Callithrix jacchus: one gene and its partners. The protein of the gene in region 3 interacts with the protein of the main gene of each other region in a pairwise test. Links are inferred from orthologs where the notes say so. Each region holds a gene or a part of one and is shown on either strand. Other genes may lie near its edges.

Evidence for each region.
Region 1: the proteins of DACH1 (region 3) and FGF12 interact in binary tests that used the Homo sapiens proteins (3 or more experiments, as listed by UniProt). The two-hybrid records come from large-scale screens. The link is inferred for Callithrix jacchus from reciprocal best matches to the Homo sapiens genes DACH1 and FGF12.
Region 2: the proteins of DACH1 (region 3) and RNF14 interact in binary tests that used the Homo sapiens proteins (3 or more experiments, as listed by UniProt). The two-hybrid records come from large-scale screens. The link is inferred for Callithrix jacchus from reciprocal best matches to the Homo sapiens genes DACH1 and RNF14.

The regions. Positions count from the first base shown.
Region 1 is NC_133516.1:21,261,545-21,265,194, forward strand, and holds part of FGF12 (fibroblast growth factor 12), read right to left. Parts: intron 2,909-3,650; coding exon 2,798-2,908; intron 1-2,797. UniProt on the Homo sapiens protein: Involved in nervous system development and function. Involved in the positive regulation of voltage-gated sodium channel activity. Promotes neuronal excitability by elevating the voltage dependence of neuronal sodium channel SCN8A fast inactivation.
Region 2 is NC_133503.1:40,423,114-40,426,763, forward strand, and holds part of RNF14 (E3 ubiquitin-protein ligase RNF14), read left to right. Parts: intron 1-95; coding exon 96-247; intron 248-3,650. UniProt on the Homo sapiens protein: E3 ubiquitin-protein ligase that plays a key role in the RNF14-RNF25 translation quality control pathway, a pathway that takes place when a ribosome has stalled during translation, and which promotes ubiquitination and degradation of translation factors on stalled ribosomes.
Region 3 is NC_133502.1:43,445,261-43,449,446, forward strand, and holds the start of DACH1 (dachshund homolog 1), read left to right. Parts: upstream 1-1,250; 5' UTR 1,251-1,690; coding exon 1,691-2,523; intron 2,524-3,529; exon of another isoform or gene 3,530-3,620; intron 3,621-4,186. UniProt on the Homo sapiens protein: Transcription factor that is involved in regulation of organogenesis. Seems to be a regulator of SIX1, SIX6 and probably SIX5.

The DNA of each region.
Region 1 (3,650 bases), on a different chromosome or scaffold from region 3:
CTAGTGCTAAGTATCCAGATAAACTTGTGTTAATTTTTATATTTTGTACACCTAAATAATTTTTTAAAAATTTATTAAAAAGTATGTTCAGTAGTTTATCTTAACAAAATATTAGTTTAAATTTATGAGTTCAGAAAATTTTTTAAAGTACATATTTGACACAATGCATGCTCTCTGGTGTGTGTGTGTATGTGTGTGTTTGTGTGTGGTATGCATAATGACATTATGCTAAGATATATATGTATGGAGGAAGGTACAAATGTATGCCTAGGTGTAGACTTAACACTAGCAGTTGACCCAGCATCAGCAGAACAAGCATTGTCAATTATTTTCCTAGAAAGAGTGAAGGAAGGATTTGTCCTAGTTTGACTCCACACTTGCACTTCCACCCTTCTGTCTCTCTGCCCCATGATAAATGTCATACAATTCCAAAATAGTTGGCTGGGTTAAGGTAGCCTTTTGTAGAATATATGTGGCTAATTGGTTTCTTGGGGGTCGATTCTATCTTCATCAATTTATAATTTTTTCAATTTTTTAAAAAGTTATATAGACGGTATTGACAGGGATGTTGATATATCATCATCATCTCCAGTCATCTCATCTTTTTTTTTTGAAACGGAGTTTCGCTCTTGTTACCCAGGCTGGAGTGCAATGGCGCGATCTCAGCTCACCACAACCTCCACCTCCTGGGTTCAGGCAATTCTCTGGCCTCAGCCTCCTGAGTAGCTGGGATTACAGGCACGCGCCACCATGCCCAGCTAATTTTTTGTATTTTTAGTAGAGACGGGGGTCTCACCATGTTGACCAGGATGGTCTCGATCTCTTGACCTCGTGATCCACCCGCCTCGGCCTCCCAAAGTGCTGAGATTACAGGCGTGAGCCACCGCACCCGGCCCCAGCCATCTCATTTTATAGGAAAAAAAAAAAAAAACCCGAAGAACTGGTAATATCTTGGACTTAATGCAGATAAGTGACACAACTAAGCGGTTCCCTGACTATTTCATCTATATTTGTAGCCTCACTAAATCTACATTGATGTACAGATGCAAGAAGTGAGAATATACAGAGAGAAAGCATCCTGATTCTTCTCTACTTAATTGAAAACTTTAATCATTTAAAAAATGCTTTCACAGAAACACAAACTGACAATTCAAACCAAAATCAGTCAATCAACAACTTAGCAAAAAAAAACAAAAACAAAAACAAAAACAAAATGAGGGCAAGAAAACTGAAATGAAATTCTTTGTAATAAGGTCTTTTCTTTATTGTAAATCATATTTTATATGTGTAATATTAATTGAACAGTTAATAACTTAGAAAGGGAGGACAAGAACATTTTCATTCATTAGGGATTTTGAAGTTTTCTTCAAATATTTCATATTAATTTAAAAGATATTTCATTATAAAACATCTGGCTTCCTAAATTACTTTATGCATTTGGTAGCTTATTAGCCTGATCACAAAAATCACATCCATCAGAATCACAACTTGTTTGGACAGATATCAGTGAGCATTTATTGTGTGCTCAATGCCAAAGATCTAGCAGCAAAGACAGACAAATGTTAGAAAAACAATATGGCACTGTACATAATTTAAGAATGACATAAATTTACCTTCAGTTATCCGTATATGATTATGCAAAATTTGAAAGAGATACGAGAGCTATCATTCTCGCTTCTGGAGCTTGAATTTGAAATTTTTTTTTTTTTTTTTTTTGAGACGGAGTTTCGCTCTTGTTACCCAGGCTGGAGTGCAATGGCGCGATCTCGGCTCACTGCAACCTCCGCCTCCTGGGTTCAGGCAATTCTCCTGCCTCAGCCTCCTGAGTAGCTGGGATTACAGGCACGCGCCACCATGGCCAGATAATTTTTTTTTGTATTTTTAGTAGAGACGGGGTTTCACCATGTTGACCAAGATGGTCTGGATCTCTTGACTTCGTGATCCACCCGTCTCGGCCTCCCAAAGTGCTGGGATTACAGGCTTGAGCCACCGCACCCGGCCAAATTTGAAATTTTTCTAGACTGCAAATTCATTTTGTCATACCTTGATGATTGCATTTAGTTTGTGAACTTGTCAACTCTACAGTTAGATTACTTAAAAACTATTTCCAGAGATATTGTTATTAATCTTTGAATGCTCAGCATTTTTATTTCCTCCCAAAAATTGTTTAATTCCATTTCAGGTCTATCAGTGTTCATTATCTTCTTATATTATATATATTTATTATATATACTATATATGTTCACAATATTCAAATATATTTTTCTTTTAAAATCAGCAATTTTGCCTTTAATATAAAATAACATATATAAATGTTATTTATACATATATATATGCATATACTCAGTGTTTACCTTAACAGGTAATTTTTGTCTGTCAGAAATTGTGTTCTGAGAAATATATAACTTGTTCATTATTGAACTATAACTTGCTCATCACTTGGTTCTGGGATTTAAATACCATCTTGTGTTAGAAGATATGCTTGTATTGTTCCTATGAGTGTTTATTATCATCTTGCCTAAAAACACTGTGATGGGAGTATATTCTTGCCCACTGACCAAATGGAATACCTTTAAGCCTCTTATCTTCTCTTAAGTGCATAACCTCTCTCATAAACTGCGTCTTTGCTGTAGGAAATCACTGCAAGTAGGATAAAGGAAAAGACATTAGCTTATTCCTAGTTAAATACTTTGAAAGGCATAGTTTGGTAAGGCAGCCTAGCCATGCTTTAAGTACAAGATACACTGGGCCATACATTTGATTTGTAATCAGATTGTAAGAAGCGAATGTTTCTTACTGTAGTCGCTGTTTTCGTCCTTGGTCCCATCAATGGTACCATCTGGGTGCATCTGCAGGAAATATCCCTGCTGGCTAAATAACCTTGTCACAATCCCTTTCAGCTGGGGTTCTGCAAAACAAAATAATTATTCAAATTTTTACTTGGCTTATAAAAATGCACACTTACAAATTGTTAAAAAAAAATCCTGTAAGTAAATACATAAATGCCAATAGCTTCAATATTGAATTACCTGTTTGGGAGTTGAGTATTTCAGTAACATATCTATGCTTTTTTCTTCCTTCTAGAGGTAGAGCCATAACACTTTTAGCAGTAAACTAAATGCAAATAAATAAAGGCTAATTATGATTAGGAAAATACAGAGACATGCTAAAAAGTGAATTATTTTGCTCCCTTGTGCATCTGGTGTCTGACTACAAGATTTCACCAAGTTTATAGCCCCATTCGAGAAATGACTGTTTAGGCCAAAATGCCTCTGCAATTACTAAAGTTTCTAGTGTCATAATCAGGTCCATAAGATTTCTATTTCTGCAGGGTGTCAGCTGTCCATCAGAAGATCCTGGGTTTTGAATTTGTAATCAAGTTCAACCAGAGAGAATAGTTTGGATGAGAACCACAGGCAATAGCAAAACTCCCGTGGCCATGAGATGTCACTGGGAAATATGTGAAAATGTAAATTTCATCTTCACTAAATACTTCACCAGAGAGGAGCCTCAGTATTCCAAAGGTCATTTCTCTAGTAAAAAAAAAAAAAAAGTCAAGTCATAAATATTTCTCTAAGTTTTTCATTTTTTTTTTTTTTAAGATGGGGTTTCACCATGATGGCCAGGCTGGTCTTGAACTCCTGACCTCA
Region 2 (3,650 bases), on a different chromosome or scaffold from region 3:
ACTAAAGCATTAAGTCTTTCTTGAGCATTGCTCAACAGTAATGGACACTCAAGTATTGACCAACTGATCCTTTCTAATCTTTGTTTTTGGTTCAGGCAATTCAAATGAGTGTCTCCAGAATAGTGGCTTTGAATACACCATTTGCTTTCTGCCGCCACTTGTGCTGAACTTTGAACTGCCACCAGATTATCCATCCTCTTCCCCACCTTCATTCACACTTAGTGGCAAATGGCTGTCACCAACTCAGGTTAGACTTGAAACTTAATTTTTCCTATCCATTTTTAGAAACTTAAAAATTGTCTTTAATTGAAGACTACCTTAATGATCTTGAATTCAGTGCATGAAAAACAAATGGCTTTGGTTTTGTAATTTTTTTCCCTTGCCTTGATGGATCCTGATGCTAAGAAATTAAAAATGCTTGGTGTTTTAAAAAGGAATGGCAGTAATTAAAGCAATCATGAATTGTAATAGGAGTAATTTTTAATCAAGTATATTTCTTTTCTTGTCTTGCTGTTTTCCTATTTAATCTGTGTTATAATGTAGACTATGAGATCTTCCTCATTTTTCTTAAATATTGATACTACTTTTTTTCTTAGGTTCTTATCCATTCCTTAAATGAAAGATTTCACTTTAATTAGGACTAAAAATTGAGCTAATGTAGTTATAATAAGAAAATTTTCTGAGTAAATACAATAACTGCTTTGCTTTGTAAAAATCTATATTAATAACAAGTAACAGTCAACTGGTATCACGTAGACATGAATGTATACAAGTAGAAATGTGTACAGTTCCTGTAGATATCTCATTAAGGCTTGAGGCCTTATGTAAAGAACCTCATTTCCTCTGGGTTATATATACTTTTCTAGTAACAGCCTCAACTCTTGATTGAGACATAAATATGACTTGAAGCTAAATATAGATAAAGTGTTCTGGGATAGATAATGAATCAATAGCAGCTGCTTTTCTAGAAGTCATAATGAAGATTGATAGACTGATGTGTATTAAGACGAAAGCTCAGCCTGTGCAACATGGTGAAACCCAGTTTCTACAAAAAAAAAATACAAAAATCAGCCAGGTGTGCATCCCTGTACTCCCAGCTACTCAGGAGGCTGAGGTGGGAGGAACACTTGAGCCTGGGTGGCAGAGGTTGCAGTGAGCCGAGATTGAGCCACTGCACTCCAGGCTAGGTGACAGAGAGAGACCCTGTCTCAAAACAACAAAGCAAAACAAAACAAAAAGCTGTCAGATTTGCTGACCTCAAGGGCTCATTAGTTTTTCTCTTTGGATCATACAGTTTTCATTCCCCCATCTACCAAGCTAATCTTTCAGGTTAGAGTACTTTTGTAAATTTGAGCTTATGGTTTAAACCTTAAAAAAGATAATACCATTAGAATAAAAAGGAATATTACTTTACATTCTAATATCTGTGCCAGAGGCAGCAGATGCAAGACAGTTGATCTGTTCAGGAATATCAAGACTGTTTAGCATTTAGGTCACTGATAATTGGCCGAATTATTTAGATATTCATAGTCCCATTTCACCAGTGAGCTTTTCATACTTTACATCCGTGCATGTGTGTGCACCCGCACACACACATGCACAAAACAGGGACAGATTAACTGGATGTGTGGTTGCAGTTTCAGATTGCAGCTAACCAGCATCCACTTAATGCTGGATTTGGGTGCGGGGGTGTGTGCTGGGGAAGAGAGTTGTTTTATGTGTTACAGCTAAAATTTTTACAGTAGAATTCTTTGTCAAATAATTGTTTATGCATATAATTGACATTTTAATTGGTCTCTTATATTCCTTCTTGGTTCAATTCTTGTTAGTTGATCTACCCTGATTCCTTGTCATTATGACTCTCACCTGTTAATAGTGAAATTGACAACGTTATAGGTGCCATTCCCCGAATTGGGGTGGGTAGACAGAGGGAAGTGGTTTTAGTTTTCTAGTATTTTCCCCTATTCCTCCCCCAGTATACTCACATAGTCTCTTGCTCCTTTTCCCTTAATTCCCCTCTCTCTTCAATTTACATGCATCCCAGGTGCATCTGTCTCCTCCCCCCTCTCACCTCTCCCCTTCTCTCCCCTTCTCTCCCCTTCTCTCCCCCTCTCTCCCCCTCTCTCCCCCTCTCTCCCCCTTTCTCCCCCTCTCTCCCCCTCTCTCCCCCTCTCTCCTCCTCTCCCCCCACTCTCTCCTCCTCTCCCCCCCTCTCTCCTCCTCTCCCCCCCTCTCTCCTCCTCTCCCCCCTTCTCTCCTCACTCTCCCCTCTCTCTGATGGAGTCTTGCTCTGTCACTCAGGCTTGAGTGCAGTGGTGCAATCTCAGCTTACTGCAGTCTCCACCTAACAGGTTCAACCGATACTCCTTCCTCACCTCCCGAGTAGCTGGGATTACAGGCGCCTGCCACCACGCCTGGCTAATTTTTTGTATTTTTTAGTATAAACGGGGTTTCACCATGTTGGCCAGCTGGGTCTCAAACCCCTGACCTCAGTTGATTCACCCACCTCAGCCTCCTAGAGTGCTGGGATTATAGGCATGAGCCACCTCGCACAGCCCCAGCTGCCTCTCTTGAGAAGGGACTGGAGAAGAAAAGAAGTTGGAGAATGGCTTCTTCATGGGACTTGGTAGCTCACACAGCACTCAGAGCCTCCCTTTTAGTATTTATCACATTTTACAGATTTTTTAGCAGATTTCTCAAAAGCATGGTTGATTTATAAGCATATTTATGCAATGTGAAAAACCATTAGTTGTTCAATCTTAACTGATTAATAAGTAAGGTAGTACCTGTGCAGGGTTTAGTCAGTGGCACTATGCGGAGTGTAAGAAACAGGAAATCTTGTCCCTTTTTATTTGTCATTTAAATTTACAATATTTGCCATCTGGAAGGCCTACTTTTGGATGTTTACCTAAAAAAGAAAAGCTGCTTATAATTCCTGTGCTCTATTACAAATATTTTATATTTCTAATGGAGAATCCTCTTATATTTGCCTTTCAAATTGAACAGACCACTTTTAAAGAGAAAAACTCCAAATAATTTAACTTCAGTTGCTTATCTTAGGAAGTGTAAGCTTTCTCTATGGCTGCTAAATCATGCTGAGGGCTTCTGATTATGACCAGGGTCAATGTCAGTCAGCTTTTCTCCATTAACTGGGATCTGATATAAGCCCAGATTGCTTAGTTAAAAGCAGCTTGTAAATCTAAATCTAAACAAGGACTCTGAGGCTGAATTCTGTTAGTGATTGTTTCAGATGAGTTGACTTCTTGATAGAACTGAAAATTAATTTTAAAACTTGGATAGTATTTTTAAATGATTCTTTTTCTAACCATTATTCTAGGATACTGACAGGGCTAGGACTCCTAATGGAAGAAAAATAGTTTATTTTTAGAACTAGATCTGTTTCTCCTACATGAAACTTACGGCAATACTAAAAGATTAAAGAACAGAAAAAAGTCCTCCATTTCAGTGACTAAAATGTGCAGCTATTTCTCTGTCTTATGGAGTCTTCCTGTTTCTCTTGTTCTCATGGTTCTTCTTGCTCCTGACTTTGTGTTCTACTCCAGCTCATGTTGCTGAATAGCTTAAGAAGTACTCCAATAAGAATGTTTATACTATCTTGAGTACAGTGTATCATAGCAGTAAAAAATAGT
Region 3 (4,186 bases):
TGTTCAAATCATATGTGAGTCAAAAATCCTTGAATAAATAGCTCGATGCAACAAGTTAGAAAACAGAAGAAAAGGAAAGGAGGAAGAGTCAGTCTAAACTCAGCCTCACGTTTTTTTAAGCACAGCTACCGAAGTCTTTACAAGTCAACTAGTGAGCTGTTTTTGTTCTCATTATTTACAAAACATCTATTATTGACAAATTGGAAAGGACTTTGCAAAACTACAGCAGCACTTTTCAAACATGGAAAAAAAAAACAAAAAACAAAACTATTGTGTTGTCCAAAAAACACATTAACCACTGGCCTTGGGTCTTAAAGGACAATGAGGATAGTTGGTTACTGTGTAAGACAGGTGAATTAATTATAGAGTTTTGAGTAAGAAAAGCCTTTTTCCACTTTCTAAATCTTCAAGGATGCCTTATCTCCTTGATCTCTCTAAGTATAAGCGGTATTTCTGACTTGCTTTTGGGGCGACAGTGAAGTTATTCTAAATCATGCACATCAGGACAAGCATTTCTTTCCACAGCATATTAAGAAATAGGGAATTGAATACAGCTTTCCATTATTCTTAAGCGATTTCTGACTGACTTCCCACCACTTGAAAATTGCCCTGGAATTTTCACTACCTTTATATAAATAAATGATTTAGTAGAGAAATAAAACAATCAGATGCAAAAGAATATTACGCTTTGCTTACATGTGAATTTTCCTCAAAATAGTTTCTGAATAATCATGAAGTGGGGGCTGTTTTCCTTTCTATCTCATTGCCAAAACGCCTGGAGATGGATCCTAAATCCTTGAAGGAGCAAGCTCGGGGCGCTCTGGCTCGTCTTTAAGTTGGCAGGCGATTGTTTAGAAGCTTTGGAAAAAATTACCAGTCGCCGCGGACGAAATGCAATGTGAGACATGCAATCTAACGGTAGTATAGAAGAGAAGTGGAAGATCTCCCTCTCCTTTTCCGATCGCCACTTCTGCGTCCCCGGCTTTTCCTCTCCGTTCCTCCCACAGTTTCTTTCTTTATCCTCCCCCTCCCCTCCTCCTTTCCTCGCACGCTCCCTCTCCAGTGTCTCGCGCTCTCGGAGTCTCTGCTCCGAGTTCCTGGTTGGATAATTTGGGTTAATACTAGTGAGTGAGGTTTTTGCGGCTTCAAAGGGTATTTCAAGTTTCCGGAGCTCCTCCCCTCTGCACCGTGTGACAACAACAACTCGTCCAGCCGGCAGCCTGCACTTTTCAGCTCATTTTCTCTCTGTCATTCGCCTCTCAATCTTTGATCAATGTACTTGCCAGGGAGAGCCCAAGTCCTTCAAACCTCCTCCTTTTCACCTTCATCCTTAACTTTGTGCTAGAGCGGGACCCACACAACAACAGCCGACCCTCCCCGCCCCCGCCCCCACCCCCCCAAACCAGCCCTCCATCCCAGCCCCCGGAGAGGACTCGCATTTCGACTTGCGGGACACTTTTGTGCGTTTCTCTCCAGAGCGCCTCTCGTGCTCGCCCCTCCTGCGCTCGCTCTTTATCACCTTCACCTCCTTTTCTCCCCCTTCTCTCCCTTTCTCCTTCTCGTTCTCTCCTGGAGTTGTTGTTGTTGCCCCCCTCGCTCCTTCTCCCCCCTTTTTTCCCCTTCCCCTCCCGGGGTGTGTGGCAACTTTTCCCCTCGCTTCTCCTCCGTCTGCTTCCCCTTATATGTGACCATGGCAGTGCCGGCGGCTTTGATCCCTCCGACCCAGCTGGTCCCCCCTCAACCCCCAATCTCCACGTCTGCTTCCTCCTCTGGCACCACCACCTCCACCTCTTCGGCGACTTCGTCTCCGGCTCCTTCCATCGGACCCCCGGCGTCCTCTGGGCCAACTCTGTTCCGCCCGGAGCCCATCGCTTCGGCGGCAGCGGCGGCCACAGTCACTTCTACCGGCGGTGGCGGCGGCGGAGGCAGTGGAGGCGGCGGCGGCAGCGGCGGCAATGGAGGCGGCGGTGGCAGCAACTGCAACCCCAGCCTGGCGGCCGCGAGCAACACCAGCGGCGGCGGCGGCGGCAGCATCAGCGCTAGCGGCGGCGTCGCCTCCAGCACCCCCATCAACGCGAGCACCGGCAGCAGCAGCAGCAGCAGCAGTAGCAGCAGCAGCAGCAGTAGCAGTAGCAGCAGCAGCAGCAGCAGCAGCAGCAGCAGCTGCGGCCCCCTCCCCGGGAAACCCGTGTACTCAACCCCGTCCCCAGTGGAAAACACCCCCCAGAATAATGAGTGCAAAATGGTGGATCTGAGGGGGGCCAAAGTGGCTTCCTTCACGGTGGAGGGCTGCGAGCTGATCTGCCTGCCCCAGGCTTTCGACCTGTTCCTGAAGCACTTGGTGGGGGGCTTGCACACAGTCTACACCAAGCTGAAGCGGCTGGAGATCACGCCGGTGGTGTGCAATGTGGAACAGGTTCGCATCCTGAGGGGACTGGGCGCCATCCAGCCCGGAGTGAACCGCTGCAAACTCATCTCCAGGAAGGACTTCGAGACCCTCTACAATGACTGCACCAACGCAAGGTGAGTAGCGGGGGGTAGCCTCCGCCACCCGAGCCCCTTCCCACCCGCCTGCTCGCCATACCCTCGCTCCCTTCCCGGCGCCGCTCGCTCCGCGCGCCCGCGAGTCGCGTGCCCATGCGAGCGCGGCCCTCTCCTCTCCCTGCTCGGGGCTCACCCGCCGCGCCCAACCCCCTGAGAAGTTGGCACCTCACCCTACCCAGACCTCGGTCTTGGGCCCGGTCCGCCCCCTTGCCCGCTGCGTCCCGGGGATGAGCTGTAGTGGGACGCGGGAACTCTTAGCCTCAGGGCGGAGGGGACTAGAGGGAGAAAGACGGCGCCTTTCCTGCAGCCACAGCCCCCTGCCCCGGGCGCGCGGGTGCCTGGGGACACCTCTCGGAGCTACGGCCGGCTTTCGTGCGCTCCCCATGGCCTGGGCTCCTTCGCCAGCCTCCCGGCACCGATGGGGCTGGTCGGTGGCGCCGAGCGGCGTCCTGGGGGCGGGGAGAGGTCGTGACCTGCCCCGCAGGGCTTGGGGAGCGGGGAGACGTGCTCCGGGTGAGGGGCCCGCTGGGAAAGGCGAGGGAGCCCGCCTGCAGCAGAGGAGGGCACTTTGAGGTCGGGAGGGAAACGACCGGCGAGGCTGAGAGATCCGGACCTTCCCGGGGGGTTGAGCTCCGGGGAGTTGAGCTACGAAGTCTGGAGGGGAAGCCCGCCGAGGGGAGGGGTCTGTGTGTTCGCGCATGTGTGCCTGTGTCTGCGTGTGAGCGAGTGTGCAAAGGAAATAAGGGGATTCGGTGGCCCCGGGGCAGATGCGAGGGCACCAGCAGGTTTTCCTCGGTAGGGGGAGGTGACCGAGTGCCCGAGACTCAATGGAAGCTGAACTGGAGAGATTGGGAAGGAAAGCGACGGAAGCGCGCTGTCTCTCGATCTCTGTCTCTTTCTCTCCAAAGTGTTTTCTTTCTATATTTCTCTCTCTTTTCTTTTCTTAAAGGGTAGTAGCTTACGCAGCGATCAGGTGCACACTTACACTGAGATGCTCAGCGGGCCTGCTACTCTGTGCCTTGGCTTCCCCAGCCCAGCAAAGCGCGCGCACGGAGACGGCGGCGGGACGGGTCCCCAGCCAGACCAGTTTTATGCTAATGAAGGCTCAGTGGGGGAAGATCTACCGGGAGGGGGCGGGAGTGGGGCAACCTGTCAGTTTCGGGGTAGAGACGATCATTCCACCCCCTTTCACAGCTCCGCTTTGTCCCTACGGTTCGCTGCCTGGAAGCGCAGACGCAAAAGTTCAGACAGATGCCGGGAGAAAGAGAATAGGGAAAGTTGAAGACTTGAAGCAGGCACGTGGGAACTGCGCGCAAAATTTGCGCGGAAACTTCGGTACCCTCTAAATAAGTTTGAAGGTTGAGAGGAGGAGCGGAGTTGGTGTGTGCCCCCGCAGAGCCAGGGAAACTGAGGTGGGAAGGAAGGAAGTGTAACAAGGAGACCAGAAGGACATTGGGATGAAAAAGCGCTAGTTTTTTCCACGGAGGAAGACTCCTAGCTTAGCGCCCGGGAAGACTGTGAAACGAAAAAGATTCGAATTCCAGTCCAGCAATTGTCCTATCCTGACCTAGCCAGAAATTCTTTTCCGTGTTTAGGTACCCTTCATTCCATGGGACATGGGTGTGTTTGGGCTTTGAACCTT